Callithrix jacchus: one gene and its partners. The protein of the gene in region 1 binds, or shares a complex with, the protein of each later gene. Links are inferred from orthologs where the notes say so. Each region holds a gene or a part of one and is shown on either strand. Other genes may lie near its edges. The genes, in order: PLRG1, PPIL2, BUD13, CTNNBL1, CRNKL1, DHX16 and RBMX2.

Region 1 (4,063 bases):
TAAATTAGTATTTAAATTATTGAAAAAAAATAAGACAACTACAGTGACAGAAAACAGATCATTGATTGTCAGAGATGAAGGAAGGCATAACTGCAAAAGAAAAGCACAGGGGTGTTTTTTGAGGTGATGTAACATTTATATCCTAATTGTGGTAATGGTTACCCAAATCAATACATCTATTACAATTCATTAATCTGTATGTCAAAGAAAAAGGTTCTTACTGTACCATCATTTGAAAAATAAAAATTTAAAATATATATTCTGTGTAGCTGTACACTTCCTATGTATATTTTCTTTTTAAATTTTCTGTTTTTAATTTTTGTGAATCCACAGAAATATGGGGTACATGAGATATTTTTATACAGTCAAGCAATGCAAAATAATCAAACAGTATGGAACACTTCACAAATTTGTGTTATCCCTGTGCACGGGCCATGCTCATCCTCTCTGCACCATTCCAATTTTAGTATGTGTTGCTGAAGTGAGCATGCATGCCCATTTTCTTTTAGATGATATACTCTGAATCACTGTAATTTATTGTAATTGCAAGAATAACTGGTAAGCCCAGTGAAATTTCTTCACATGGTATTTCCCCCTTCACCTTCAAACTAAATACTTTGAACACTTTTTCTGAATTTATTTAGTCTGCCATCCATATTTAGTAGCTTTATCTGGACATTTTGTATTGTATTTTATATAAAATACAAGTGCAAATTTTACTTAGGGAAGTGACCTTCCCAAGAGCTCTTTTAAGATACTGCCTGGATTCACTTTTTCCTCCTTATTCTGTTCTTCGGTGTTTGTCGACTAGAAAGCAATCATGGTTTACATAATAAAATAAATGCAGAGTCACTCACCCTGTAGAGTTTCCACGGCGGATGCCACTGGGGTTTTGGCATTGTAGGAGCTTTTTTAGCTATCAGTGCAGAATTCTTGGTATTGCCAGTCTCCATGACAATCTAGACATAAAAGAGACTACATTATTATTATTAAAGACATCATACCTAAGGCTTCATGTTATCAATTCCGAAATGGAAACTGAAAGAGAAAACTTACAAAAGCTTTTCCATAAATGAAGAAATAAAATTTTCTGCATGCTAATTTAAAAAAGCAATTATAAAGCCACAGAGAGGCAGAACTTAGACTTAAGAGTACACATCACCGTATGGGTTCAAAACCCAGCTCCGCCCATTACTAGCTGACTGACACTGGGTAGTAATTATGTAACCTCTATGTGTCTCACTTGTAAAATGGGAATAGTGCCTATTTCATAGGGTTACTACAAAAAAGTAGTAAATGCTCCATGTAAGCTTCTATTATTAAAGTTATTTTAAGTGTATTAATGCCACTGCCTTTCACTGTCATATTTTAACATTATTAATATTTATCTTCTAATACTTAAATAATATTTTAAAAGGTATGCTACCTGATATACCTTCTATTTTAGCAACCATCTAGTCACCTAAAAAATATTTAAGCCCATAAAGTTCCTGCCCTCAAGAAACTTAAATTATACCCTCATAATATAAGGACAGAGAACCTGGACAGAAAATGTGTTCTGAATGAAGTTAAAGGAAGAAATGAGATGTGGAGGCTACACCTTCACTCCTTTCATAAGGTCAAATCAATTGCATAATGAGCTGAGCAGTAAAGCCAGCACTTATTTCAAATGGCAGCATAAGAAAATACACTGCAGATAAATAAGTCAGTAAAAACACTGTAGAAAATAATTATATTACTACTTCTACCATACTGAGCAGTTGCCACTTACTTACAAACCAATAAACTTATTTCTAAATGTTCATTTATAAGACCAGTTGTATAACGCATGAATAGCACAACACTAACAGCACAGTACAACTGTACAGTTCTACAGTGTGTAACTGAATAGCCAACTTAGTTTTAACAAAAAACTAAAACTTCATCTAATACATACTAGCACAAGTTTCAAAAAACACTCCTTGCATTTTTAATAGTGGGCAATAAATACCAACATCATATTATCTTTATCAAAATATATATATTATGCACAATATAACAGAATTAAATTCTTAAAAATACATTAATTTACTACCAACTTGAGTTTTAGGGCTATGAAATATGAATGACTAGCTCATGCTGCTATTTATCTTAATTATTCCAAAGAAGTGTTCATTTCTTTAGTATTTAAGACTTTTGGTTAAAGGGAAATAAGGCAACATAATCTGAAAGTTAAAAACCTGCTATTTGAGGCAGAAAAACTTACTGAATTCATCGTTGTAGGCTGTGGACGGTCAGCAGCCCCAGGATGTCGGTATTCACTTCCACTAGGTGCAGTACGATTTGCATCAGCCCTGAGGCAAAAGAAATTATATAAAGTAATTAATACCTCCAGTCATATATTCTGCAAAACCAACCCTTTAAACTTTTCTTAGTCCTGATAAAGAAAAATGTCATATAATAGTTATAAAGAAATTTTTTAAAAAACCATCAACAGTGAAATATGCTTTTAAGATCTTTGTAATTATAGTACTTCATACTTGGCCTGAGAAGGTAATGCCACCGCTAAGGACTGTGCAGCTGATTCACTTGGCATTCTCTGGATCTTAGTATCTGCTGTCAAAGCGACCCCTATTAAAATGAAAAATCAATTTCTTTTAGTAGCTTTGTTTTCATTTATATACATTTAAAATAAAAGGATGAAGGAAAACATACACCAAATGTTTATCTCCAGGCAGTGGAGATAAAATTTTGATTAAATTTTGCTCATCTTTGTTTTTAATTTCTACAATAAATACTGCCTAATAACACGTAACTCAAATTTGATTTCATCACAACCAACCTGGTATTAAAGCAGCCCAGAATAGTAAAGTTAATTTCCATTATATTCGGGTATTGGTTTCAAAAGTCAGTATTAAGCAGTTCTTCAAATACTAACATAATGTTTCCAAAGGTGGGATGGAACTTACTACACCCAATTTCCCTGTACTTTCTGTATATACTAAGCCTTTTGTCCTCTACCCTGTTATACTAGCCCCTCCATTTGAAAGCCAATGCCTTAATATAGACATAGGACATGTTTCTAACATACTGCTTCTAACATTTCCATTATTTTTATAAGCTTAGTGATATTTACATGTCTGCCTAAGCCACCAGATAATAAATTGGTCTAGGCCTGCAACAGTTTTACTGTCTTTGAATTCCTAGCACAGTGCCTGAAAAATTACATACTTAAAAATCTTTGCTGATGAAGGCCCATGAATATTTATTATCACCTACAAAGCTATGTATGGATGCTTGGCTATTGAGCTTATCTTGCATTTTATAGGCAATGAGAATCTCATTATTGGCTCATTAGTGAAAATATGTGTGACATTTTAAAGACATTTTCAATATGCAACAGCTCACTAACCAGGTCCTGGTGGGTATGGATGTGTACCTGCCACAAAGTATTCAACTTCTTGTCCTGGAAAAAGGGGGAAAAAAAATCAACAGTACTGAATGTATCTTATATAAAAGTTACCATCTCTTTAAATGTAGCAAATAATATTAAATTATCAACCGAGCTACCAAATTTTCTCAACTAAAGTCAAGCCTCAGAAATAAGGGAAGTTGATCACTTTTGCTCTGACCCCTGTAAACCATGTCCTTGCCCATTCGCTGTACAGCAATGGTGTGCAAAGAAGCCCTCCTATCAAATGACAATCCACTCTGGTATTTCTTCCAAGTGAATGGTTTCCTGTGGAATCTTGAATTCTCTTTATTACGATTTTAGTATTTAATTTCATCTTTCTGAATTACAGACAAGATACATGGCATCCCCACAGGTTAAGAATATTCTCCAAATTCTTCCCTTAGTCTCCACTGCGACTTTCTCCACATTCTAAGAATCTCTGCCATCATTATTCTGCTTTAAAAAAAAAGTCAGCAACCAATGTCTCAGTATTCCCATGAGGATCAAAACTTCCATTATAATACCAATACAGCCATTAAATACTGTATGATCACAATAAGTTCTGCCAGGAGGGGCATAAATAACCCATTTTATTTTTCTATTTTTAAAATTCACATGTAAGTCCTGACA
Region 2 (4,670 bases), on another chromosome or scaffold:
AGATCAGGAGCCTGGAGTGCTGGCAACTTAGTATTGGGAGTCACGGGATACAAGTGGCATTTAAAATTAGGAGCCTAGGGTCGGGCACAGTGGCTCAGGCCTATAATCCTAGCACTTTGGGAGGCCAAGGAGGGTGGATCACGAGGTCAGGAGTTATAGATCAACCTGACCAACATGGTGAAACCCACCTCTACTAAAAATACAAAAATTAGCCGGGCATGGTGGCACACACCTATGATCCCAGCTACTCACAAGGCTGACGCAGGAGAATTGTTTGAACCTGGGAGGCAGAGGTTTCAGTGAGCTGGGATTGCACCACTGCACTAGAGCCTGGGTGACAGAGCAACGCTTCATCTTAAAAAAAAAAAAAAAAAGAAGAAAGAAAAATTAGGAGGCCGGGCATGGTGGCTCACGCCTGTAATCCAAGCACTTTGGAGGCCAAGGCGGGCGAATCACCTGAGGTCGGGAGTTCAAGACCAGCCTGACCAACATGGTGAAACCCTGTCTTTAAAAAAAAAAGAAAATAAAAATCAGGAGAGGCTGGGCGCGGTGGCTCACGCCTATAATCCCAGCACTTTGGGAGGCCGAGGCGGGCAGATCACGAGGTGAAGAGATCGAGACCATCCTGGCCAACATGGTGAAACCCCATCTCTACTAAAAAATACAAAAATTAGCTGGGCATGGTGGTGCGTGCCTGTAGTCCCAGCTACTAGGGAGGCCGAGGCAGGAGAATTGCTTGAACCCAGGAGGCGGAGATTGCAGTGAGCCGAGATTGGGTCACTGTACTCCAGCCTGGTGCCTGGCGACAAAGCAAGACTCTGTCTCAAAAGAAAAAAAAAAAGAAAAGGAAAAAAAGAAAAATTAGGAGCCTAGGCCAGATCATGCCGGGCCTGAGTGTAGATAGGGGCCCAAGGGAAGGGTCTAGCAGAAGAGACAGAAGGAATCAGGCAGGGCTTTGGACCTCTAGGCTTGATGGCCACCTGCTGCCGGGCCTGTGAGGGGCCTCGAGGCGGTGGGGACCCAATGTGCAGGGAGAATGAGAAGTGAGCGCGTAGACACGGAGGGCGGACATAACTTTGAAGGTGTCTGCTGCGGAGGCGGCAAGGGATGGAGTGGAGGCTCATGGGACATGAGGCTCCAGGAGGACTTTGGAAAAGACCTGAGCGCTGGCTGGGTGTGGAAGTTTAGGCCTGTAATCCCAGGACTTTTTGGGAGGCCAGTATGGGAGGACTGCTTGAGCCCAGGAGCTCCAAACGAGCCTGGACAACATTGTAAGAGCCTGTCTCTACAAAAAGTTAACACATTAGACGGGTGTGGCGGTGCGTGCCCATAGCTTCTCGGGAGGCTGAGGTGGGAGAACCGCTTGAGCCTGGGAGGTTTACGAAGTAGTGAGCTGTGATTTCGCCACAACACTCCAACCTGGGCGACAGAGCGAGATCCTGTTTCGAAAATTAATACATAAATAAGACCTGAGAACTCAATATGGGAATGGCCCTGAGCCGTCGCTGGGCGGGTAAACGAGGCGGTCCAGACGGAGACCCCTAGAGAAGATGGGGCCTCAAGGCTGAGGGAGCTCGGTCCTGGGAAGGCGCCAGCGGGAGAAGGCACATCCAGAGGCCCAGATTAGGCTGTCGACTCTTCCGAGCATGCGCACCTGGCGCTAGCGAACAACAGGGCCCGGCACGCCGGGATTCCGTTTCCGGGGCGGGCCGCGAAACCCGGAAGTGGTCACCGAACGCTGCCAAGGCTCCATGGTCTGAGTTGTCAGCCGTTGCTTTTTCGTGCTCGTTAGTCGTCGCCGCCGCCGCGCCGCCATGGGGAAGCGACAGCACCAGAAGGACAAGATGTAAGTTGAACCGCAGTCGGGAGCGGCGGCTCGCTCTGCCTCAGTGACCCGCCTGTCCCGTACTGCGCGCCAGTCGCCTTCCCTCTCAGCTAGTCTCGGGAGCCCAGCACAAAGGTTACTTCCTCCCGGAAGCCGTCGCCCTCTCTTCTAGCTGGGTATTGACCCTCGGGCCGCCGTGCTCTCCCGTGGCTCCGATGACGTCTGCTGCGGGCCCGAGCGCAGTCGGGTCTTCCTTTACTCTGCTTCTGCCCGGGCCGCCCCCCACTGCTCGCGAGCTTTGCCCGAGTGAGTAGTCTCTCCCTCTTCCGTACATCCGGTCTCCCTGTGTTCTGGTTTATGCCCCTCAGCCTGCACACGTGCTGCAGAGCCTTCCAATTTAAAGCAAACCAGGCTGGGCGCATTGGCTGACCTGCAATCCCAGCACGTTGGATCCAGCGAGCGGATCACCTGAGGTCAGGAGTTTAAGACCAGCCAGTCCAACATGGTGAAACCCCGTCTCTACCAAAAATACAAAAATTAGCCGGGCGTGGTGACCGGCGCCTGTAATCTTAGCTACTTGGGAGGCTGAGGCAGGCGAATCGCTTGAATCCGGAAGGCGGAGATTGCAGAGCCGAGATCGAGCCACTGCCCTCCAGCCTGGACGACAGAGCGAGACTCCGTCTCAGAAATAAATAAAACAATACAATAATGCAATACAATACAATCCACCCGTGTCCCTTGCCCCAGTTCCCCTCCCACTGCCGCCGTATTTTCTTTGATTCTCTCGGAACAAGTGAGAGACCCGTGGCTTCGTGCTGTTTTCTGAGTCTCTTGAAGCCATTTAAGTCAGAGTTTCAACCCTAGAACTCCTCTTGTCATGTTCCCAGCGACTTCTTGTTGCTAAATCTAGGATTCCGTCCTCAGTCCTCATTTTGTTGGGCTTCTCAACAGTATGTCACACCGTTGACCACTCCCTCCTTCTGAAGCCCTTCTTTGGTATCTGGGATTTCACATGCTCTTTGTTTTCCAGCGGCCTTTCTTTTCCCAGTCTTCTTTCTGGACTCTTCTCCCTTCTCCCAGACCTCGTAGGTTTTTTTTTTCTATAAACATTCCCTGTGGGTAATATAATTTCCCAGTCATCTGTAAGCTGCTTTCCCCAGTCTTGTGTAGTTAGCGACTTTCTTATTATCGCCACTGGAGGACTAACAGGTGTCTCAAATTTAATATGCCTTAAACAGAGCTCTTGATTTTCAGCTCCTGAGCCTGTTCCTCCCTAAAAACTAAAAATCTTAAGTCTCCCCACTGGCTGAACAGACACCCTTGTGGCCAAGAGAACCCCAGGAAAACCTTAAAACTGAGTTTATGGCCATGATGGGATGGAGGTCAGATGTATCCTTTTGTGTCTTGGACACAGCTGACCAGGATTAATGTTGAAGTAGAGATCATAAGATTGACAAAACAGACTCTGGCAATAAGATACCAAATTATAAACAGAACCCACAGACAATTGTGCCAGACAATTTCCCTGGTTAAGTTATCCACTCCTGAACTTAAAGAATAAACTATATTCTAACTGCCACAAGATTTTTCTTTTTCTGTAGCAGCTAAATAAGCACTGGTTTTCACATAAGCAATATTAAAACAGTTGTAGTCCACTAGCAGACATGGACTAATTGAACCCCTGTTCTATCAGTCGTACTGCAGCTTTAGTCTGGGCTCAGTAGCTCATGTCTGAAATCCCAGCACTTGGGAGGCCAAGGCGGGACGATCACCTGAGGTTGGGAGTTCGAGACCAGCCTGACCAACATGGAGAAACCTGTCTCTACTAAAAATACAAAAAATTAGCTGGAAGTGGTGGCACATGCCTGTAATCCCAGTTGCTCGGGAGGCTGAGGCAGGAGAATTGCTTGAACCTAGGAGGCAGAGGTTTCAGTGAGCCAAGATTGAGCCATTGCACTCCAGCCTGGTCAACAAGAACTAAAATCTGTTTCAAAAAAAAGAAGTAAATAAATAAATAACTGCAGCTGTGATTGGACAAGAGACTGATTTCTGTAACTTTCTCCTGATAAGACAACTGACCATGGACAGGCCCTGGCCAGTTTACAGAGGCTGCTCATTCGTATGCTCTCAGATTTTTAAAAGATCTTTTGATGATAAGGCCTACTTACAATACATTTAAATGTTAAGTCTCCACCTTAAAGAGAACAGGGGTCATAGGTTACATATATGTTTATTTATTATGCCTATGTTAGGACCATCTTTATGAATATTCAGAGATCCTTTAACCTGTTAAATATTTATGATTAACTTCTTCAGCATAAGGCTCTTCCTACTCCAGTCCCTCCTACTTCAAAGTGCCTGTCTCTGGGATTCAGCTGGAGGCCATGCTTCCAGCCTGCTGGATGGCCACTTTAGGCTGTAACCCATTATAAGAAATAAAGTCAGGGCCGGGCGCGGTGGCTCACGCCTGTAATCCCAGCACTTTGGGAGGCCGAGGTGGGTGGATCACGAGGTCAAGAGATCGAGACCATCCTCGTCAACATGGTGAAACCCCGTCTCTACTAAAAATACAAAAAATTAGCTGGGCACAGTGGCACGTACCTGTAATCCCAGCTACTTGGGAGGCTGAGGCAGGAGAATTGCCTGAACCCAGGAGGCGGAGGTTGCGGTGAGCCGAGATCATGCCATTGCACTCCAGCCTGGTAACAAGAGCGCAACTCCGTCTCAAAAAAAAAAAAAAGTAAATAAATAAATAAATAAATAAAGTCTGCTTTCTAACTTTATAGATTATTTATTTATTTTCATTTTTTTTTTTTGAGACGAAGTCTCACTCTGTTGCCCAGGC
Region 3 (4,063 bases), on another chromosome or scaffold:
TAATGTCACTCATTCCCTGCCCAGAACCAAAAGTAGTAAAGCCCCAGAAAGAGCCTCTAGCAAGACTTCTTCACATTGGAAGGAGTCAGGAGCCTCTCATTCGACACTCCCAAAGAACAGCAAATATGAGTATGACTCTGACCTCTCTCCTCCACGAAAAAAGCAAGCAAAATCTCATTTTGGAGATAAGCAGCAGCTTGATTACAAAGGTGAGCATATGACTGTCCATGAGAGGGATGTGTGTATCCCCTGGGAGCTTTCTTTTGGCCCTTTACTTGCTTTATAAGGTCTAAGAATGGAGTTTCTTTGGGAAAGTTTTGAAAAGTGAGAGGCTGGGGTTGGGAGAGTTAAAAAATTACGGTGGTAGGGAGGAAGGTTTTCATATATCTTTTTATTTACTTGCCCCACCCCATATAAAAGTACAATTTTTTTTGTTGCAGAAGCTTTAGAATGTACAGAAGTGTATAAAGAGAAAAGTGACACAAAATTCTGTCATTCAGAGGCAATTGTTAGTGTTGCAGCCAGGGTCATCTTAATCTTTTCTGGTTTTTGATTTGCATTTTTGATATAGTTGTGCTCTGGCTATGCAGAATATTGTATTGCGTTTGTAATCTTGTCTGCTGTCTTTTCTTAATATAGTCTTCCTCAGGCCATAAAAACATCTTTATGTTAATATGATGTTAATAGTGTTCCATTACATAAAATTACTTAACCATTTTTCTAATAATGAGTGTTTTTGGTTATTTCTAAGTTTTTGCTTCTGCAATTCTGTAACAGACATCTTGTACATAAAGTGTTGTCCCCATTTTTGATTATTTCCTTATCTATTTCTAGATAGATTTCCTGGAAATTCAACCACTTCTGTATAGGTTTCCTAGAAAGCTGAGAAGTTGATTTACTGGGTCAGAAGATGTGGGCATTTTAAAGACTGTCCATACATATTGCAGATTGCTCTTTGGGAGGTGATTTGTGATGCTTATACAGTCACTAGAACTTAGGCCTGTGCAGTGAAATTTTTTACTCCCTCTTTTCTTTCTAGGAACTATTTTAATTTTAAAATTAAACTACTTTGTTATCATTTAGTCTGAGGATATCAGAATGTATTCTAGGTATTTCTGACTTTTGTCACGCTATGGAGCACTGACTATACAAATGTTTTGTCTGTCCATGGGTGGGGTAACTGACATGGAGGAGTGTGTGGAGATCTCACACACGGTTACAGCCACTGGTCACTTGGTAATAGAATGCCATCTTCTACCTGTTGGTCTTAAAAGTTGTTTCTGACTTTGCTTTTCTCCTGTGTCATTCATACTTATGTTTAGGTTAATGAGAATTCTTCATAGGAAAACTAAATAAATATTGTATATTAGCTTGGTAAGTTATTTTTTTTAGATTCTTCCAAGGGGATTAAAGAATTGTTTGGCCAGGCATGGTGGCTCAAGCCTGTGATCCCAGCACTTCGGGAGGCCAAGACGGGCAGATTACCTGAGGTCAGGTGTTCAAGACCAGCCTGGCCAACATGGCAAAACCCTTTCTCTACTAAAAACACAAAAATTAGCCGTTTGTGGTGGCGCACACCTGTAGTTCCAGCTACTTGGGAGGCTGAGACACAAGAATCACTTGAACCCAGGAGGCAGAGGTTGCAATGAGCTGAGATCGTGCTGCTGCACTCCAGCCTGAGACTGTCTCACAAAAAAAAAAAAAAAAAAAAAAAAAGAATTCTTTCATTTGGAGGTTCTTCTCACAGTCATAGGAGATTTTATGTAAGTTCTTCACCTAGAGGACATCAGAGTCACACAGATTCTTTCCTTCTATCCAGGTGACTGCCAGAAAGCAACTGATTCAGACTGTTCTTCTCCATGGCGTAAACAAAGTACAGGGCACCAGGATTCTGATTCAGATCTGTCACCTCCACGGAATAGACCTAGGCACCGGAGCTCTGATTCTGACCTCTCTCCACCAAGGAGGAGACAGAGGACCAAATCTTCTGATTCTGACCTGTCCCCACCTCGAAGGAGTCAGCCTCCTGGAAAGAAGGTTAGGATTTTCAGAAGCTATGTCCTTATTTTCGCATGACTCTTCTCTCTGAGCTTTATATGTGTCCCAGAGAATCAAGCCAAAGGAGAAGGATGTAGCTTTTAGAAGTGTAGTAAATCTTAGTTAAAAGGACCTTTGGATCTCTTTCTTTCTGAAGGCAAACTGGCTATAACCCAGCCCAGGTGGATTTATAGATACCACATTTCCCAAGTCGCTTCTGCTTTTATAGCCTCTTAATTCTACAAATCTCATTTTAGCAGGTCCAGAAAAGCTTCCTATATTCTTAGGAATAAACTGAGGACTGTAATTTGCAGAGTGGAGTTTGGGGCACAAGCATTGTGTCAAACAAATCACATATTGAAATTCTCCTTCTGCCACTTACTGTCTGTGAGATTTGGGCAAGTTGCTTATTATCGCTAAACCTCAGTTTCTTTATCTGTAAATTGTTGTTAATAGCAGTACCTACTGTGTAAGGTTGTGATAATTAAGCCAGTGTAAATAAATCTCTTAGCATAGTGTCTGCATCTAGTGTAAGCATCTGGTATTGGTGATTTACTAGTATAAATTGACCTATAGGTCTCTGTATCCAGAGCTTAAGAAGAGACACTTAAAATACGGAACTACTTTTAGAAATCATGTTGTCTGGGAAGTTAATGTTTTGTTCTGAGTTCATGATAAAGCTTGATGAATTAGCCAAAAAACCCAAAACTCCATATGAACCTTGAGTAATTCTATTGTAGAGAACATTAATAGTAGTAAAGGAATCTGATTTGTGAGTGGTTAAGAAACAGAATGATGGAGGCTGTGGTGTGCATTTTTCTCCCCAATGCAGACTTACCAGGTAAATCTTGTCTGTTGAAGAAGGGTCTGAGAAGACTGGTCCTGGTAGGGTAGATCAGCCTTTTCTTTACCCAGGGAGTGAGAGTCTTCTCTTTTCTGGAAAAAAGAGGTCTCTGTTTCAGCTGGACCCCTTGACATTTTATGTATCCATTTAGTTAATGGACAACTTAATATTATAGTTGCTTAAGGATATCAGGATATACTGTGTGCTTCATTTGTGGGCTGGTTTGCTGTCTTGATACTAAGTGGAAATTAGCAAAAAGTTTTCATTTGGTTAGATCTTCTGTTATTACCCTGAAATATATCCACGATTTGAGGATCTTAGGTTTGCTTGAGTTTGTATTTTAAATGGAGTATTTTGTCAGTGTGGGTCTCTAATGGAAGACTTAGTGCTTTATACTGGCTTCTGATCAGATGACCTGAGAGAATCTTCATGTGTACAGTTTCTATACTGAAAAGTCAAAAATGCAAATGCATAGCCCTCCCTTTAATATATTGTTTGTTTGTGTTTCTGTTTACTCTTAAACTTGATGGTATTGATTTTTTTATGAAATTAGATTTTCTTTCTTTTATGGTTTTTGAATCGTGATAATTAATGAGAATATAAAGCTAGAGTTTTAGGTTTAATTATTGCTGCTCATCAGAGACAAATGCATCTAACTGTGTACCCGTGGAGCCTACTGCCACATCATCCCATTAATGTTGGATGCTCCCTTTTCCATTGCATAGGCTGCATACATGTATTCTGGGGCTAAAACTGGGTTGGTGTTAACTGACATACAGCGAGAGCAGCAGGAGCTCAAGAAACAGGACCAAGAAACCATGGCATTTGAAGGTAAAAATATGAAAGCACAGAGACCAATCTAGTCTCATGTTGCTTTTTTACAAAACATAGCTTATTGTACCTGATATTGTAAACTTCTAATTGCTATCAAATTTCAGCTCTGGTTTTATGCATCATTATAACTTCTTACTAAGTCCCAGTGTTTCTTTCCTTCTTGAAAAATGCCATTTTGGCTGGGCGCAGTGGCCCATGCCTGTAATCCCAGCACTTTGGGAGGCCATGGCGGGTGGATCAGTTGAGGCCAGCAGTTCAAGACCAGCCTGGCTAACATGGTAAAACCCTGTCTCTACTAAAAATACAAAAAAACTAGCTGTACGTGGTGGTGTGTAGCTGTAATCCCAC
Region 4 (4,803 bases), on another chromosome or scaffold:
ACTACCTTGTTAAAACTTTCCTTATGCTGTTAGCATAAAATCTAATCTCTCTCTCTCTCTTTTTTTTTTTTTTTGAGATAGAGTCTTGCTCTGTCACTCAGGCTGGAGTACAGTGGTGTAATCTCACCTCACTACAGCCTCTGTCTCCTGGGTTCAAGGGATTCTCCCGCCTCAGCTTCCCAAATAGCTAGGATTAGAGGCTAACCATGCCTGGCTAATTTTTGTATTTTTTAGTAGAGATGGGGTTTCACCACGTTGGCCAGGCTGGTCTCAAACTCCTGACCTCAAGTGATCTGCCCGCCTTGGCCTCCTAAAGTGCTGGGATTATAGGCGTGAGCCACCACGCCCAGCCACGCCTGGCCAAAATCCAATCTCTTTACCTTGGCACACAAGGCCCATTATGAAACCTCTCCCTCTAGTAGGCATTGTACTAGGCTTGGAGGATACAGTAGTGAACATGACATACACACATCCTGCTTGCATGGAGCTTGCAGTCTAGTAAATAAGGCTGTCAAGAAACAAATAGTCAACCATTAAACACAAAATTACAGATTGAGATATATACACAGTAAAGAATAATGAGGAGAGAGTTTGCTTACTTTGACTGAGGGTGAGTTGAAGAAGCCATTCTAAGAAAGTGACATTTGAGACCGGAAAGATGAGAGAGTTGGATGAGATGTGGGGCTGATAGCTAGACAGAAGGGGAGAGGATTTGTCACTTTGAGGAATAAGAATAATTTCTGTATAGTTGGAGACAGTGGAGTTAGGATGGGGACCAAAATTATAACTATGAAGGGCATATAAATATAATACAACATATAAATATAAATATAAAGGGCAGGGCTTATGGAGAAAGGTTTAATTTCCTTTGAAGATGGAGCCTTACATCCCAGGAGATTAAGATGCACAATTTGAATGATACTCTTCCAATTATGGGCAACTTTCTCCTCCAGAAACCTTTTTATATCGCCTGGGTAGCACCAGGTTCATCTAGTTACTGTCAGACTTTGCATAGATGAATAGACAGATGTCTAGAGAGGGACATGTGATCCAACAGTTTCTCAGCCAGTAATAGTTGTACAGCCTTGGGACAAGTCACATTTTGAGCCAGCCCTGTCTGATAGAAATTAGTGGAAACCACAAATGAGAGCCACATGTGTAATTTAAAATTTTCTACTAACCACATTTAAGAAGTAAAAGGAAACAGGTAAAATTCATTTTATAATATATTTATTTGACCCAATCTGGTGTGTATTTTATTTACACTTACAGCACATCTCACTTTGGAGTAGCCATATGTCAAGCTCTCGGTAACACGTGGCTACTGGGTTAAAGTATTGGATGGTGCAGTTGGGAGCATCAGTTTCCTTTTCTGTGAAATGAGGACAAGTCACTTCAAATACTACGGAGAGCGCACACTAAGCACCCAGCGCTCCGCTCTGGACACGGGGGGCGCGGAATCAAGTTTGGTTTCTTTCGGTTTCTGCTCTTCTCCTCCAGTCCCTCCTCTAAGTCTCCGCCCCTTTCCCCGCCCCCTCAGGTTATAGGCGGAAGCAGCCAGGTTCCAAATACAGCACACTTTACGGCGGCGCGGCCTTTTACCGCGGTGTGGCCTGCTCGCTTGTCGCGCGCGCTTCTGCTCTATTGGCTCTGAGGCCCCGCTCGCTGCACTTTACGGCAGTGTGGCTGGAGCCGCGGCAGACGGGCCCGTGGTCTGGCCGTGAGTGGAGGGGACCGGATTTGCTGGGTCGGGTACCATGGACGTGGGCGAACTTCTGAGCTACCAGGTATGAGGGGCAGGGAGGGCCGAGCGACCGCCTTCTCACTTGGGCAAGGGTCGCAGGGGCCAGAGCCCCTTCATCTCACCTCCTTTCGCCTAGCTCCCGGGCCCCCTAACTTCTCAAGTCACCTGGAGTCCTAGCCCCTCGTTTTACTTTCCTCCCGAGGCCCTCCTGGGCCCTTTCGATTCGTCCCTTCTCAAGACCTGAGCCTCTCACCTCCTCTTCCTCACCCCGGGGCCTGGTTCCCTGAAACTCCTCTGAAACCCCAGACTATCCCGTTTTCCCAGCCATGTCCACTCAGCTCTCATGTCCCCCCAGTCATTGAGGTGATGGTGGTGGTCATGGTGGGAGCGCACTTGGATCTCTCTTGGGTTTGAGCTCCAGCTTCTCCACTGACTGGCTGTGTGGATTTTGGACAAGTCATATCCCCCTCTTTGAAACAGGTTTTTGTGTCTATGTGGTGGAGACACTAATAGCTGCCTTAGTAGGGTTGTTTGAGGACTGTACCAACTGATGGATATGAAAGCTGGTTTTAAAGTGTGGAAAGCTGTGCTTGTGTTTACTGCGATTTGGAGGAGATGTTGGGAATTCTAGGAATGGAACTGAGTTTCTAGGAATCTTGCTCAGGGCCCCCCGTTGCATAGGATACTTGTGGGGAAACTGTGAGGGACCTAGAGAGCAAAAAGGATTTGTCCGGTCACTCAGAAACAAGGAGCTGGAATTTGAGCTCAGGTGTCTTGACTTCCACCCCAAAGGGTCCCCCCGGTCCCCCGCTTTGATTCCACAGTAGGCTCATTGTGAGGGGCAATAGAGCTGCACTGCCCAGTGTGGTAGCTACCACATAGGCTGTTGAATGCTTGAAATGTGACTAGTCTGAATTGAGAAGTACTGTAAGTGTAAAGTTACATTTAGGTTGGAGACTAGTATGAAAAAGTAACATTTTTGTATTGATTACATGATCGTACTGATTATATTAATTACATTGGTTATTGGTCATATTGATTAAATGATCATATTTTGGATAATGGGTGAAATAAAATATACTTAATTTTTAATTTATTTTATTGTTATCTAGAGACAGGATATTGCTCTGTCGCCCAGGCTGGAGTGCAGTGGCACAATCATTGCTCACAGTAGCCTTAAACTCCTAGGTCTAAGGTATCCTTCCCAGTAGCTAGGACTGCAGGCGGGCATTACTATGTTTGGCTGATTTTTAAATTTTTTGTAGAGACAGGGTCTTGCTATGTTGCCCAAGCTGGTCTCAAACTCCTGGCGTTAAGTGATCTTCCCATTTGGCCTCCTAAAGTGCTGGGATTACAGGTGTGAGTCACCACACACCACACCCAGCAAATAAAATATGCTTAAAACCAATTTTTTTTTTTAGTGCAGTGGCACAATCACTGCAACCCCCGCCTCCCGGGTTCAGGCATTTCTCCTGCCTCAGCCTCCTGAGTAGCTGGGATTGCAGGCCTGCGCCACTACACCCAGCTAAGTTTCGTATTTTTAGTAGAGACGAGGTTTCACCATGTTGGCTAGGCTGGTCTTGAACTCCTGACCTCAGGTGATCTGCTTGCCTCGGCCTCCTAAAGTGCTGGGATTACAGGCGCGAGCCACCATGCCCGGCCTTCAAACCAATTTTAACTGCTCCCCTTGACGTGTTAATGTGTTTACTAGAAAATTCAAAATCACGTAGGTAGTTCAGCTTACATTTTTGTTGGACAGCTCTGCAGTCACGAATAGGTGATTAAGAGCCATGAGTCTGGACCCCTAGGTTGCTGGCAGTCTCTGGTTTGCTACTAACTGGCTGCTATAAATTTGAACAAAATACTTAACTTCTCTATGCCTTGGTTTCCTCATCTTAAATGGGGGGAAATGACAGTAGCTGCCTCACAGGGCTGTTGTGAAGCTGTTGAGAAATGTAAAGTGCTTAGGCAATGCTTGCCAAAAAGTAAACATTCAGTAAATATAAGCAGTTATTTTCCCACCACTCCCTCAGCCAACATACGAGAAATTGACCCCGGACACTTAAGACATCATGGGAAAGAACAATTAAGCAATGGAGAGCTGTAGAGCCAAGAGAATTTTCTTTTAAAGACAGTTTAATTGATAGTGAAAGACAAAGGGAATTAGGCATGTTGTTGAATGAGTGATTGTATGCTTGCTTGGAATTTCTAGAAGGGCTAGCCCATTAAAGCTAGAAAAGGCTGGGCTTGGTGGCTCACGCCTGTAATCCCAGGACTTTAGGAGACCAAGGTGGGTGGATCATGAGGTCAGGTGATCAAGACCATCCTGGCCGATGTGGTGAAACCCCGTGTTTACTAAAATATACAAAATTAGCTGGGTGTGGTGGTCCACACCTGTAGTCCCAGCTACTCGGAAGGCTGAGGCAGGGGAATCTCACTTGAAGCCAGGAGGTGGAGATTGCAGTGAGCTGAGATTAGGCCACTGCACTCCAGCCTGGTGACAGAGCAAGACTCCGTCTCAAAAAAGAAAAAAATTCATTTGCTTAACACCTACTATGTTGCTCAACAAATATATATTGAACACCTACTGTGTGCAAGGCAGTCTATCCACTGGGTATATAACACTGAATAAAAGGCAAGATTCTTGCTTTTGTGGAGCATCTGGTGGGAAGTTACAAGATACTAAGTAAACAAGACGTTCAGATTGTGGTAAGTGCTAGGAGGGAATATAGTAGAGTATGATATAAAATTGCACTGCTTGGTATAGTAGCCTTTAGGCACGTGTGATTATTGAACACTTAAAAATGTGACTCGTTTCTAACTTAGATCTGCTGCATGTGTAAAATACACACTGGATTTCAAAGATTTAGTATGAAAATAATGTAAAATATCTTACCTTTTATGCTGATTACACATTGAATAAATGTCAACACTTAGGATATATTGGATTAAAGAAAATATATTATTAAAATTAATGTTACCTTTTAAAAAAACTTTTAAAATGTGGCTACTAGAAAATGTAAAGTTAGATAGGTGTTTTGCTTGTGGCTTTTTTTTGT
Region 5 (4,063 bases), on another chromosome or scaffold:
ATAGGTGAGGGAGCCGAGGCCTGAGAGGTGAAGTAGCTTGACTAGGCTTTCATAGGTGCTGATGGAAATGGAACGTGAACCTAGAAGAACGAATGCTCTTAACTTCTTGGCCATATTTGAATATATTACCACTTTGGAAATCAATGATTTATTCAAGGAAGATAGATTAAAATGGCAATTCAAAACTTTCGGCTTTGACTCTAGTTAGCAGTTTTCTTTTTATAGCACTTTTTCTTAATTATCAGTTCAAGTATTTATATTTTAATATAATTGATGTCATTTATTGACCAGACCATTATTGACCATTTACGGTGCCATGTTCTTTTGGCCAGAAACTGTGCTAAGGGCTTACCATACATTTTCTCATTTAAAGCTAGCAGTAATCCAATGAGGTTGGCATTATTCTCTGTTAACCAACGAAACAGCTGAGACTTAGACAAGTTCAATGACTTATCCGAGATCACATGGTTAGTAATCTGGGTTGAGATTTTTCTTTGCTTCCAAACTCAAGATTGTACCCAGTACTAAAATCTTAACTAAGCACTGGAGGAAGATAGAATGAGAAGGCGTGGCCCTGCCCCCAGGTAAGCCACCGTTTAGTTCTACACTTCTGCATGTGTTTTATTCCCCTGGAGTTGTAGTTTGAACTGTTGGGGTGTCCAGGCTTTGGTATGGTTTTAGCGTTTGCTTAGTCTTTCAAACCATGCTGTTTTTGCCTGGTATTTCCTTAATTCCCTTGCACTTGTCCTCGTGCACCCTGATGTTAAGAACTGGATCAAGTATGCCCGCTTTGAAGAAAAACATGCTTATTTTGCTCACGCACGGAAGGTGTATGAGAGAGCTGTGGAATTCTTTGGCGATGAACATATGGATGAGCACCTTTATGTCGCCTTTGCTAAGTTTGAAGAAAATCAGAAAGAGGTAATATGCCTAAAGAACTTCATTACACTGTAAAATAGCTTAGCAAAGATTACATTTTGTGCATGGTGGGTTCATTTTCATTTTTCTTACATACCTTGGAGAAGAGTTGCCAAAATGCAAAAACGCAACTTCTCACAGAGAACTGCATATGTATGTGATTCAACTACATATTGGGAGCTGATTATAGATTGTATTATAACTGTCTTAATTTGGTTGTGCTTTGTTTGAAAATTAAGACTTTTAGTCTTAATTCCCTTTAAACTGAGAGCTGATCATTTGGCATCCTACTTAAAGGACTTTACAGGTATAAATATGGGAAACAAAAAGCATAAAACTCCAGAACAGGAAGCAAAATTTAGAATGGAAACAGAGACTGCCCTACAAATAAGGCAAGGAGTTTGAGACCAGCCTGGGCAACATAGCAAGACTCTGTCTCAAAAAAAAAAATTGAGTGGGCCTGTTGGCACACACCTACAGTCCCAGCTACTTGGGAAGCTGAGGTAGAAGTATCAGGAGTTTGAGGCTACAGTGAGCTATGGTCATGCCATTGCACTCTAGCTTGGGTGATAGCAAGACCCTATCTCTTAAAAAAAAAAAAAAGGAGTTCAAGTAATAACGGAACTGAGAGAGGTAGGCTGAGATCCATCCAAATACAGGGTTGGCATTCCCAGTCTGAAAATCCGAAACTCAAAATGGGAACCTTGTTGAGTTCTGACATGACACTCAAAGGAAACGTTCACTGGAGCATTGAAGACTTTGGGTGTTTCTACTGGGGCCGCTGAACCAGTAAGTGTGATGCAGACATTCCAACACTGGGAAAACATCCCAAATCCAAAACACTTCTGCTACCAAATGTTTCCGACAAGAGATACTCAGAAGCATAAAGCCCCAGAACGGAAAACAAAATGTAGACCTGTACAAGGTCTTGCACAGACCATGCTAGGGAGTTCAGATTCTGTTTGAGCCAGTAGGAAGCACTGAAAGGTTTTAAGCAGGATGGTGATTGGATATGATTTATATTTTAAAGAGAATCCCTGGCTAATTCGTGGAGAATGTGTGGGGATGTATGGCAAAAGTGGAACCAGGGGAGACCAGTGGGGAGACTTTTGAAGTGGTCCAGGTAAGCAGTGGAGCTTGATGGCTGGAGGCTGGAGAGAAGTGAAGGGCTGCGTGGAAGAGGTTGAAATGGCAGGGCTTGTTCCAGGAGTGAATATGGAGAATGAGGAAAAGAGAGGAATCAAGGAACACCTGAAGGTTTTGGCATGAGCAAGTATGTGACTCCAGGTTAGGCATTGCCTACTAAGATTGGGAAGATGGGGAAAGTCCCAGGGTGAGTGGGGAGGAAACAGAAGCTGAGTTTTGGACCTGTTTGAGATGTGCAGTGGACATCCAATTGGCGGTGTTAGGTAGACAGTATTAAACATGGAGCTCAAAGCAGAGTACTGGTCCATCCTGACAGCTCACTTCAACAAGAGGGAGAAAAACATTTACTTCCGACATTATGAGGCCTCAAAATCTAACTTATAGGTAATATTTTGTTACATGTACTTTCCTTGTTGTGACTGGCATGAGAATATTGTGTTATAGAAGGTAATCATCCTCTCTGCATTTAGTTTGAAAGGGTACGAGTGATTTACAAGTATGCCCTGGACAGAATTTCAAAACAAGATGCCCAAGAACTCTTTAAAAATTATACCATCTTTGAGAAGAAGTTTGGTGATAGGCGGGGTATTGAAGATATCATCGTGAGCAAACGGAGATTCCAGTATGAAGAAGAAGTGAAGGTGAGCGCTGGTGTGCATGGTCAGCTCTGCAGATAGCTGAGATGTGCTCAGCCTTACTAGCAACACTAAAGGAAACAGCAAGTTAGCATTACCCATGATTACCCTCTTGAGGATGTGCCTGTGATCAACTGATGGCTATTTCACACAAGTAGGAATAAATGAGGGTGATAGAAAAGGCAAGCAAACAACACTGGGATTTGCTCTGCCACTCAGATGTTGAAATTCATTTTGTTGATTGCTGATTATATGTAGAACTTGAGCAAAAGAAGTGTGGAATCCATTTGAGCTCATTGTTGGAAGGAGGTGGAAGAGTCAGAGATTGGTCCAAAAACCTGTTTTTGCACATCACCCTTTGAGCTTAACTGCCTGCACAAAAGATTTATGCTATACAGGGTTCTATCGGCATCTCTTTTTCTGTAATGTGCTATTTTGATTTCAATTCAAAGAGAGTAGCATTTGCCTTCAGTATTCTGCTGTGTATTTAAAAATACCTTTGCTTAGTCTAATTAAGATACCTCCAAGCAAAGGACTAAGTCTGTTATTTAATGAGGTGGTAGGTTAGCAAGATATATTAATGATAAATTACTCTTAATTGGAAAGCAAGTTTAACAATTGTGAGCATAATATCATTCTATTGTAATTTGGTTACAGACATGATATGTAGTCACATATATAAGCAAATGCATTGATAAGAAGAGGCATCTAATTATTGACTATCTTGAAAATGATGGCTGTAGATGAAGGGGGCTTTGCTGTGGGATACCTGGCCAGTGATCTATCCTCTGTATTTCTGTTTCTTTTCTATATGTGCATCTCAGGGATGGTGTTTTTAAAATGAGAGAACATGAAAAATTTAGAAGAAAAAGTGCTAAAAAAAAAAATAACAAAAAAAAAAGAAAAGGTGCTAAAATATAGAAGGTCAGGCTGGTGCCTTTTTTCATCTCACTTAACCTGGCAAGCGCAGCTCTTCATTTTGCTTTTTATTTATTAAACTGGTTGTCTTTCTAGGCGAATCCACACAATTATGATGCATGGTTTGATTACTTGCGTTTGGTGGAAAGTGACGCAGAAGCTGAAGCCGTGCGAGAAGTCTACGAAAGGGCCATTGCCAACGTCCCACCCATCCAGGAGAAGAGGCACTGGAAGCGCTACATTTATCTTTGGATCAACTATGCACTCTATGAAGAATTGGAGGCAAAGGTGAAAAAAAACCCAGAATTATGCATCAGCTGTTAATGGTTTTCTCTCCTCTGTATTCACAGCTCACCTATTGTGGATATTTATAATTCTTGAAACCAAGAAATTTAGTTTTAAATTTTTATAGGCTTCTATTCAGTCATACAGTTACGTATTCACTC
Region 6 (4,063 bases), on another chromosome or scaffold:
TGCAGTGAGCCAAGATTACACCACTGCACTCCAGCCTGGGCGACATAGTGAGACTCTGTCTCAAACAAAACAAAAAACAAAAGGATGTCTTTCATTTCACCCTACCTCCCTATTTTTGTATCAGGCTGAGCAACCTGAACCTGGGTTCTTAGCTTGCCAGGACACCTCTCTACAGACTCCACCTGTATGGGCACAGGATGTTCTCACCTGTCTCATGAACTCTTTGGTGGTCAAGACAAGTTCATGGTAGAGCAGCCAGCGTGGCTGTTGCTCAAATAGGGAGGAGTTGGGATGAATGAAGACCGTCTGCTGCTGTTTCACTGTGCGGTAGCCACTCCGAGTCAACCGTGCCGTGTGGTAAAAGTAACCAGCAGTGATGGCCTAAGGGGAAGGCAGGAAAGAAAATCAATGGAAAAGGCAGATATCTGGGGACCCTAAGTGCTCACTACCTTTTTAGTTCAAGCTTTGGGAAAACTAGCGAGGTAGGGAAGGCATGAAGAATCCCCCAGGAATGAACCTTCAGTGGTCTGGGGAAGAAAGCCCTGGGAGGAAATGTGGTACATAAGGGGAAGAGGGCATGTCCTCAGGCTGGAGGAGCTGCTGCATGCCACCAGGAAGCTACTGCGGGTAGAAGGCAGTAGGCAAAAGAAATGCTGACCTTGCGTACACGGATATAGTCCCCCTGGCAGGAACTGAGACCAACTTCTACACGTTCCAAGAGCCCTTCTAGCTGTTCCCGCACATCTCGGGCTCGGCGCATTGATCTGAACTGTACAAAGTTCTCATAGCACCACTGGGAAGAGTAACCACTCTCAGCCCACTGGGAAGAGAGTTAAAAAGAAAGGAGAGGTAGTTAAGTGTACAGCGAGACTGAAGTCCCCCCATGTCTCTTTCCCACTCACCCAAGCCCAGTGACCTGTGTGTAAACGTTTAGCAGAACCAGGTGGTCACCACCAGGAAGGAAGAAGTTGACACGGGCATTGTCAGCATGGACAACCTTGTCCTTTGGCCGGTAGAAGATGGAATTGTTGACAGACAGCATGGCAGCCACTGTCAGGATCTCCTCTGAACAGCTATACCTGGGACAGGAAGGGGAAAGCACGAGTTCAAAGCAAGACACATAAGCACAGATATGGTAGAGGGGGAAGTGACCGCTGTGTGATGGATGTTTCCTCATGTGGGGAAGGCTGGTTGGCATAATGGTTACAAAGCAGCCAGCAGATAGATTCTGGCAGCAGCTTGAGGGTCAAGGAGGTAGGAGCATAGATGAAACACAGTCACAAGGGAGGGATATCCATGGAGGCAGGAGCAGAAAACACTGGGGACTTCTGAGGTTTCTACAGAAAGTGTGCATTCACTATGTGCATTCGGAAAAGATCTCGACAGCAGAGGAATGGCATTTAAAGGTGGTCCCTCCACAGCTACATCTAAATGTTCTAGTTTGAAACCTTGGGAATGAGTAAGTTCCAAAACCAGCCCTCATTCAATAACCCTCCCAGATGGAAAATCTACTTTCGTTCATGACCCAGAATTTTCTGTCAGTCAGTCTTGCCCATTTAGTATAATCAAGGACAGGATCAAGGATCAAGTGTCTTACCCTTGTGGGCCTCAAAAGGGGGCATTCAGAGTTATCTAATAATTTATTATTTATTAAATAATAATATGAAGAGAAAAAGACAAAGAGACAAAGAAGACCCCAGAGACAGAGGAGGCCTGGGGGCCTGGGTGGAGAGGAGGGCTTACTTCTCAGAGGCTAGGATCATTTTGGACAGCATGGGATCCACCGGCAGCTCTGCCATCTTTCGACCAGACTAAGGAGAGAAGACAGAGAGTTGAGCCCGGTCCTCCCTCAGGATTCTCTCCATTGCTATAGGGGTCCCTGGAGCCATCCTGACCCGTATCATCCTGCCCCCACCCATGCTGCCCACCAACTCACCGTGGTGAGCTCCCCAAGGTGGTTGAGGGCTCCCAGGGCATACAGCTGCTCCAAAGCCAGCAGCAGTGTCTCATATGGTGGAGCGTCCAGGAAATCAAAGTGCATTAGGTCATGGATCCCTAGAGAGAGGTGGGAAGGATGGAACAGAATCCCTTCAAAGGACCATGACTCCAGCCCACCTCCCCCTTCTCTCAGGTAGCCCAGTCACCTAAGCTCTTGAGTAGCAACACGACATTGCCCAAGCTAGTCCTCTGGATCTCAGGCACTGTGGTTTCCTCAAGCTCGTGCTGATAGGCCCAGGCAGTATACAGGCGGAAGCACTTCCCTGCAGCCACCCGACCTGCCCTGCCAGCTCGCTGATTGGCTGAGGCCTGGAAAGAAAGGCGAGCAGGCTAGCTGACAATTTGGTTGGGGAAAAGAAAAAGGGCAGTATTTATGCAAGAAATTAAGATGGATGTAAACTGCTCATCCCCGTTTGCTAAGAAGCCCCCACCCTGCTTCTGGAGTTGGACCTTCCCTGTGGACCAATTCTACCTCCCTGACCCCCATGCATCCCCAAGCTGACCTTACTGCAGGGTATGACAGTGAGTGATTCCATTCCTGTGCGGGGGTTATAGCTCTTCTGCTTACAGAACCCTGGATCCAGCACATAAATGATGCCCTCAATGGTAAGTGATGTCTCAGCAATGTTTGTTGCCACAACCACCTGAGTGAGAGGATATGGGGTCACCCAGTGACCCTGCCAACCTCGTTACCCAGAAAAAGTCATCTTGGAAAGTTAGAAGTAGTAAAGCAGTTGCGGTAAGGGGCAGGAGCTGAGGGAATTAGTATCCAAGGTCAAGAGCAAGGGACAAGGACAGAAGACAGGGCAGAGGGAAATGGGGGCTGGGAGTCAGCAGGGGCACAAGGAGGAAAGAAAATGGAGAAGAGGACTTAGGGTGTTAATTTTTTCAGAAGGGGAATGGGAGTGTTCAAGTTCCTGTCCCGTCTTCCTCACCACCACTTCCATCTTCACACAACACTTCCTGTAAGAGCCTTCTAACACATCTCCCTGTTTCTACTCCCAACCTGTCAATGGCATCCAGGATGGTCCTTTTAATATATAAACATGTCATATCACTCCCCATCCTTCAGTGGTTTCCTATCCTACTCTAGAATGCAATCCAATCCCCTTAAAAGCCTGGATCACCTACCCTAGCTGCCTTTCTGACCTCATCTGCTAGCACTCCAACCCCTCCCTCACTCCTCCTGCACACTGCTTTGCTCTGCCCACGTACATGCACTCCTCACTGGATCATTTCATTTGCATCAGCTGTTCCCTCTGTCTGTGGCACTTTTCTCCCAAATATCAGCCTGGCTCCTCCCTCACCTGGTTTGGTCTCTATTCCACTTTCCCTTTACTGAAGGGCCTTCCCTATACCCCAAAACAAATATCTTCATGCCAGTCCTCACCCCCACCTCTCAGGAGTCAAGTTCCATCCTGCTATGCTGCCTTGTATCTCTTCACAGCACTGGCCATAAATTGACATTATGTATTTACGCATCTACTGTTTCCCCAACAGACCGCAAGTACAAGTAGGCTAGGGACTTTGTTTTGTGCATCACTGTATCAACTCATGTGTATCTGGCACCACACAGAAAGAACTCATGAAATATTTGTTGAATGAAAGTTACATCTCTGCTCAAAATCCTTTGATTGCTACTAAGCTGTCTAAAGTCCAAACTTCTCTGGACGTGGTGGCTCATGCCTGTAATCTCAGCACTCTGGGAGGCCAAGGCAGGCAGATGACTTGAGGCCAATAGTTCAAGACCAGCCTGGCCAACATGGCAAAACCCCATCTCTACTAAAAATTAGCTGGTTGTTGGCCGGGCATGGTGGCTCACACCTGTAATCCCAGCACTTTGGGAGGCCAAGGTGAATGGATCACCTGAGGTCAGGAGTTTAAGACCAGCCAGGCCAACCTGGCAAAACCCCATCTCTCCAAAAAATACAAAAAATGAGCAGGGCATGGTGGCATGTACCTGTAATCCCAGCTACTTGGGATACTGAGGCAGGAGAATTGCTTGAACCTGGGAGACAGAGGTTGCAGTGAGCAGAGGTCATGTCATTGCACTCCAGCCTGGGCG
Region 7 (4,522 bases), on another chromosome or scaffold:
TAGTAGAGACGGGGTTTCCCCATGTTGGCTATGCTGGTCTCAAACTCCTGACCTCGTGATCTGCCCACCTCAGCCTTCCAAAGTGTTGGGATTACAGGTGTGAGCCACTGTGCCCGGCCAACAAAGTAGTTTTTCAAAAGGCACTGTTATTAGCGGCAAAGGCAATCTTCATGGAGAGTAGTGTGTGTAACCAGAATAGAGAATCAGAATAAACAAACACACACACACATGCTAACTGATCATCACTCAGTGTATGTAGAACTAAACAGCTCCAAGATGGAAGACTGAATTGGGTAGAAGTAGAAATTATAGGCTGCACCTGCTGTTAACTTCCCACCATCCAGAAGTTGGAGGAAGCAATCTTTGTCCCTGCCAGGGCCCTCCAACCATGTGGGTTGCCCAGGTTCTCTATCACAGCCTTCTTCTCACGGGTACTGCCTAATTCCTTTCCTATGACTTGCTGCCCCCTAAGTGGCCCAACCACTTGGCCAGGACCCTCTGTCCATGGATGACCCTACCATCCTGCCATGGCAATCCCTCTGCCAGGGTATGCTACCTGTGTTTGCCTGGCCAGCCCCTTTTGCCATGGTCCTCTACCTGTACATGCCGTCCAACTTCTCTGTACTATGTTCCCAAGGCCCAAAAAACCCAAACATAGTGCTCCTCTGCACCTGTGAGCCACCAAGGTCCTCTGGTCCTGTGGACTAACTGTGCTGTTTAGCTCTGGGGTTGCATGCCAGCTGCCCAGCCCGTCTCCTACCAGCTGCTACTACCAGTATGAGCCGCCAACACCCTCTCCCACCAAGTGCTACTGCTCAGCAGAATGAAGAATATACAGGTCTCCTATTCATTCTTGCTCCTCATCAGCCTGTGATTCTCAGCCTCCAGGTAGAGACTGGCTTCGCTCACTAACCTTACACTCATTGAGAAACAAAGAAAGCAAACTACAACCTATACCTTCTATTTTTTACCCCACTTCTGTGTTTTGCCCCAATCCTATGATGCCACACAGGTTAGGGCCAGAAGGGCCCTGTGACCATCAGTTACCCCTAGTTTGCAAGAGCCAAGGAGGTGGACCAACACGGTACCTTCCTGAGGGTTCCAATCTGTTCTAGTCTAGGCCCAGGCTGAACAAGCCTCAGTCAAAGACAACAGAAATAGACCTGAATTCCCAAGATGGCCGCCTAAATTAACCAACTTTTTGGATTTCCCACAGGAGAACATTCTAGAACCATGTCCTGGGACTGATCCAGACTAAAGCAGAATCTCCAACCCTCCCCATGCAGGGATGCCATTCAGCCTAGAGTGAAAATAAGTGGTTTTTGTGATGCCACAAAATGCATTATAGAAACAAAGTACTCTGTCGACTCAGGAGGCAGGAAATGAACAGGGACTTACTGTGAGAACACACAGATGATGTCTCCTTCAGTCAGTTCATAAGGAAGCCCTCCTAGAAGAGAAAACCACATTTCAGTTCACCCAACATTTACCAAGAGTTTACTACGTACCATGCACTAGGCCAGGCACTAGGGGTGCAAACAGTAAGCAATAGGCCCTGTCCTTAAAGAAATCAAGTCTGGGCCGGCCACGGTGGCTCATGCCTGTAATCCCAGCACTTTGGGAGGCTGAGGTGGGCAGAGCACCTGAGGTCAGGAGTTCAAGACCAGCCTGGCCAACATGGCAAAACCCCGTCTCTACTAAAAATACAAAAAAAATTATCCAGGCAAGGTGGCAGGCACCTATAATCCCAGCTACTCAGAAGGCTGAAGCAGGAGACTCACTTGAACCCAGGAGAAAGAGGCTGTAGTGAGCCAAGATAGCATCATTGCACTCCAGCCTGGGCAACAAGAGTGAAACTCCAACTTAAAAAAAAAAATCAAGTCTGATGCAATGACAGAAGTACATGTAAGGTGCCAGTAGTACAGGAAAAGGAGTGATTAACTTTGAGTGGAAGTCAGAGTCACCACTAACTAAACTAATCTGATCACTCAGTCCTCCTGGCACCCCAAATACTATGGACAAAGCAGATAGTTTCCATCACAAACCTCTGCTTCCACAAACATGCTGAATTCATCTGCTCATTATCCACAAATTTACAGCTATGATACAAAATCAGTCTACATATGTCATGGTTAATCCCACCTAAATATAGACAAACGTTATAAAGACACTGTTAAGCATTTCCTAGGAAATAATTTCCCCTCCAAATGTTTCTTTCCTCATCTGTAAGATGAGGATATTAGCACATAACTCACAGGATTGTTATAAGAATTAAATAAAACGACGCATATAAAGTGCTTAGCACAATGTTTGGTACAATAACCTCTTTGAAACGTCAAACTGTACAATTACTGGTTGTGACACAAAGTGAATACAGGAGTGGTAATGTGGCCATGGACAGAAGACAGCAGCTAATTAGAGGAGAAAAGTGAATTCAGGAAGGGAAGGGGAATGAGAGAGGGTGGTGGTAGCAATGTGGGTGTGTAGCTAAGACCATGATTTCTAGAATACTATAGTTCTGCTTGTTGTGCTTACTAGCTATGTGACCTTAATGAATTCCCTTAACTTCTCTGCACCCCAATTTCCTCAGCTGTATAATGGGTCAGGGGTGAGAGAAATAACAACAGTCCCTGAGCCTTAGCACAGCAAATGGCAAACAGTAACTCTCATGATTTGGCAGGGAAAGAAAACTAAAAATAGGGGAGAAAAGAGATGGAACATGGATTCCCGGGCAGACAGCAGATGGATATAAAGGTGGGCGATGAATGTAGGCAGGAGTGAAGGGTCGGAACGCTGAAATCGTCGGAAACCGAGTAGGAGAATCTTGGGAGCACTGCGGGAGAAAGATGTGCACCTCACCCAGGAAGATCCAGGCGCTGTCCTTGTACTCGGAGTGCCAGGACACCTTATCGGCCACCCCAAGCTGGACCTCTCGTTCATTCAGCTCGTTGATCAGCTTCACCTTAGTTAAAGGGCTGCAAGGTGGGGGGATGTGGAGGGAGGAGGAAAGCAGACAAGTAAGTGCGACTGGGCAGGAGCTGAGAGAGAGCAAAACTAGGGGACGAACTGTTCTAGTCACAGAGCCTCTCCCGCCTCTGTACACCGCAGACTCTCTACCACCCCAGCCCCAGCGGACCACCCCCGGCGACTCGCTGCTCCTTCCTCAAAAGGAAGCTAACGCCTTACTTCATCTCCGCTAGCTCGCGCTCAGCATTCAGGTATCGGCGCCCGGATGAGGCAGCGCGGCGCATGCGCGACCCCGGCTCCGGTTGCCGGTTGAGTCGTTGACCTCGCGCCGGAAGAGCTAGGGCGTACCGAGGTCGTGGCGCCTGCGCACTAGCAGCCTTCCGTGCCCTGTGCGATTACTTCTGGAAGAGATGATTTTCTCTAGTTTTTCGATTTTTCTTTTCTGTGAAATGGAGTAAAGGAACGAGCCTGGGTTGTTGCAGGACCCCCAGCACTTGAACGGTGTCTAAAGCTGGTTAGATTAGCTATAAATATTTTCTGAGTGAACGGAACAAGCAGTCTGATGTGGCAACTTCAGTCTCAGCCCCCGCTCTCAGTCCAGAGTCCCACTTGGACCTTCGCTCCTGGTCAGTTGCTCACACACAGCCCCATCAAAGCGTCCCTGTCATGGCAGAAAAGTGAAGAAGATAAGCGAAAGGGTAAATCTTCTGTTGTTCTTATCCCAAAACACAGGCAACATACCAGTGTGCCTCTAGAGGCTGAAGTGAATGCCTACAGATTTGCACGAGAGCCACTGCACTCACTCTTTTCCATCGACTCTCCTAGTTGAGGAGGAGGCAGAAATTAATATTGTTAAATTAATAGCTAACAATTGAACAGATGACATACTATACGATGCAAGAGTATGTGCTAGGCAGTTTACATGTATTGTCTCTCCACCCTCACAACAACCCAATGAAGCAGATAAAATTACAATCCCCTGGTCAGGCACAGTAGCTCATGCCTGTAATCCCAGCACTTTGGGAGGCCAAAGCAGGAGTATTGCTTGAACTCAGGAGTTCAAAACCAGCCTGGGCCACATAGCAAGACCCTGTCTCGAAAATAAAGGGGAAAAAGGGGGGCCAGTCATGGTGGCTCATGCCTGTCAACTCAGCACTTTGGGAGGCTGGGGTGGGCGGATTACCTGAGGTCAGGAGTTCAAGACCAGCCCAGCCAACATGGTGAAACTCTGTCTCTATTAAAAATAGAAAAATTAGCCAAACATGGTGGCACATGCTTGTAATCCCAGATACTCAGGAGGCTGAGTCAGGAGAATGACTTAACCCTGAGAGGCAGTAGCCAAGATCACACCACTGCACTCCAGCCTGATGATAGAGCGAGACTCCATTCAAAAAGAAAAGAAAGAAAAAGAAATTTCTACCCTTATTTTGTAGAGGAAGAAATGAGGCTCAAAGGAATTAATTAACTTGAAAGGTACTCTACCTCCACCCATCAGGTCAGGTTAATTTAATCAGTCCTTACTGAACATCTAGATTTGTCCTGCACAGCTAAGGTC

What was found.
Region 2: PLRG1 (region 1) and PPIL2 share a complex: the UniProt entries of both Homo sapiens proteins name them as parts of the minor spliceosome. The link is inferred for Callithrix jacchus from reciprocal best matches to the Homo sapiens genes PLRG1 and PPIL2.
Region 3: PLRG1 (region 1) and BUD13 share a complex: the UniProt entries of both Homo sapiens proteins name them as parts of the minor spliceosome. The link is inferred for Callithrix jacchus from reciprocal best matches to the Homo sapiens genes PLRG1 and BUD13.
Region 4: PLRG1 (region 1) and CTNNBL1 share a complex: the UniProt entries of both Homo sapiens proteins name them as parts of the PRP19-CDC5L splicing complex. The link is inferred for Callithrix jacchus from reciprocal best matches to the Homo sapiens genes PLRG1 and CTNNBL1.
Region 5: PLRG1 (region 1) and CRNKL1 share a complex: the UniProt entries of both Homo sapiens proteins name them as parts of the minor spliceosome. The link is inferred for Callithrix jacchus from reciprocal best matches to the Homo sapiens genes PLRG1 and CRNKL1.
Region 6: PLRG1 (region 1) and DHX16 share a complex: the UniProt entries of both Homo sapiens proteins name them as parts of the minor spliceosome. The link is inferred for Callithrix jacchus from reciprocal best matches to the Homo sapiens genes PLRG1 and DHX16.
Region 7: PLRG1 (region 1) and RBMX2 share a complex: the UniProt entries of both Homo sapiens proteins name them as parts of the minor spliceosome. The link is inferred for Callithrix jacchus from reciprocal best matches to the Homo sapiens genes PLRG1 and RBMX2.

The regions. Positions count from the first base shown.
Region 1 is NC_133504.1:42,072,222-42,076,284, reverse strand, and holds part of PLRG1 (pleiotropic regulator 1), read right to left. Parts: intron 3,446-4,063; coding exon 3,392-3,445; intron 2,611-3,391; coding exon 2,520-2,610; intron 2,334-2,519; coding exon 2,246-2,333; intron 960-2,245; coding exon 858-959; intron 488-857; exon of another isoform or gene 387-487; intron 1-386. UniProt on the Homo sapiens protein: Involved in pre-mRNA splicing as component of the spliceosome. Component of the PRP19-CDC5L complex that forms an integral part of the spliceosome and is required for activating pre-mRNA splicing.
Region 2 is NC_133502.1:193,633,454-193,638,123, forward strand, and holds the start of PPIL2 (RING-type E3 ubiquitin-protein ligase PPIL2), read left to right. Parts: upstream 1-1,720; 5' UTR 1,721-1,814; coding exon 1,815-1,846; intron 1,847-4,670. UniProt on the Homo sapiens protein: Has a ubiquitin-protein ligase activity acting as an E3 ubiquitin protein ligase or as an ubiquitin-ubiquitin ligase promoting elongation of ubiquitin chains on substrates.
Region 3 is NC_133511.1:16,401,622-16,405,684, reverse strand, and holds part of BUD13 (BUD13 homolog), read left to right. Parts: coding exon 1-209; intron 210-1,819; coding exon 1,820-2,037; intron 2,038-3,606; coding exon 3,607-3,712; intron 3,713-4,063. UniProt on the Homo sapiens protein: Involved in pre-mRNA splicing as component of the activated spliceosome. As a component of the minor spliceosome, involved in the splicing of U12-type introns in pre-mRNAs.
Region 4 is NC_133506.1:33,130,019-33,134,821, forward strand, and holds the start of CTNNBL1 (beta-catenin-like protein 1), read left to right. Parts: upstream 1-1,699; 5' UTR 1,700-1,757; coding exon 1,758-1,787; intron 1,788-4,803. UniProt on the Homo sapiens protein: Component of the PRP19-CDC5L complex that forms an integral part of the spliceosome and is required for activating pre-mRNA splicing.
Region 5 is NC_133506.1:27,029,152-27,033,214, reverse strand, and holds part of CRNKL1 (crooked neck-like protein 1), read left to right. Parts: intron 1-742; coding exon 743-921; intron 922-2,534; coding exon 2,535-2,705; intron 2,706-3,713; coding exon 3,714-3,905; intron 3,906-4,063. UniProt on the Homo sapiens protein: Involved in pre-mRNA splicing process. As a component of the minor spliceosome, involved in the splicing of U12-type introns in pre-mRNAs.
Region 6 is NC_133505.1:35,450,856-35,454,918, forward strand, and holds part of DHX16 (pre-mRNA-splicing factor ATP-dependent RNA helicase DHX16), read right to left. Parts: intron 2,643-4,063; coding exon 2,502-2,642; intron 2,308-2,501; coding exon 2,145-2,307; intron 2,056-2,144; coding exon 1,937-2,055; intron 1,812-1,936; coding exon 1,744-1,811; intron 1,080-1,743; coding exon 917-1,079; intron 821-916; coding exon 659-820; intron 382-658; coding exon 208-381; intron 1-207. UniProt on the Homo sapiens protein: Required for pre-mRNA splicing as a component of the spliceosome. Contributes to pre-mRNA splicing after spliceosome formation and prior to the first transesterification reaction.
Region 7 is NC_133524.1:126,043,565-126,048,086, reverse strand, and holds the start of RBMX2 (RNA-binding motif protein, X-linked 2), read right to left. Parts: upstream 3,252-4,522; coding exon 3,187-3,251; intron 2,976-3,186; coding exon 2,860-2,975; intron 1,451-2,859; coding exon 1,399-1,450; intron 1-1,398. UniProt on the Homo sapiens protein: Involved in pre-mRNA splicing as component of the activated spliceosome. As a component of the minor spliceosome, involved in the splicing of U12-type introns in pre-mRNAs.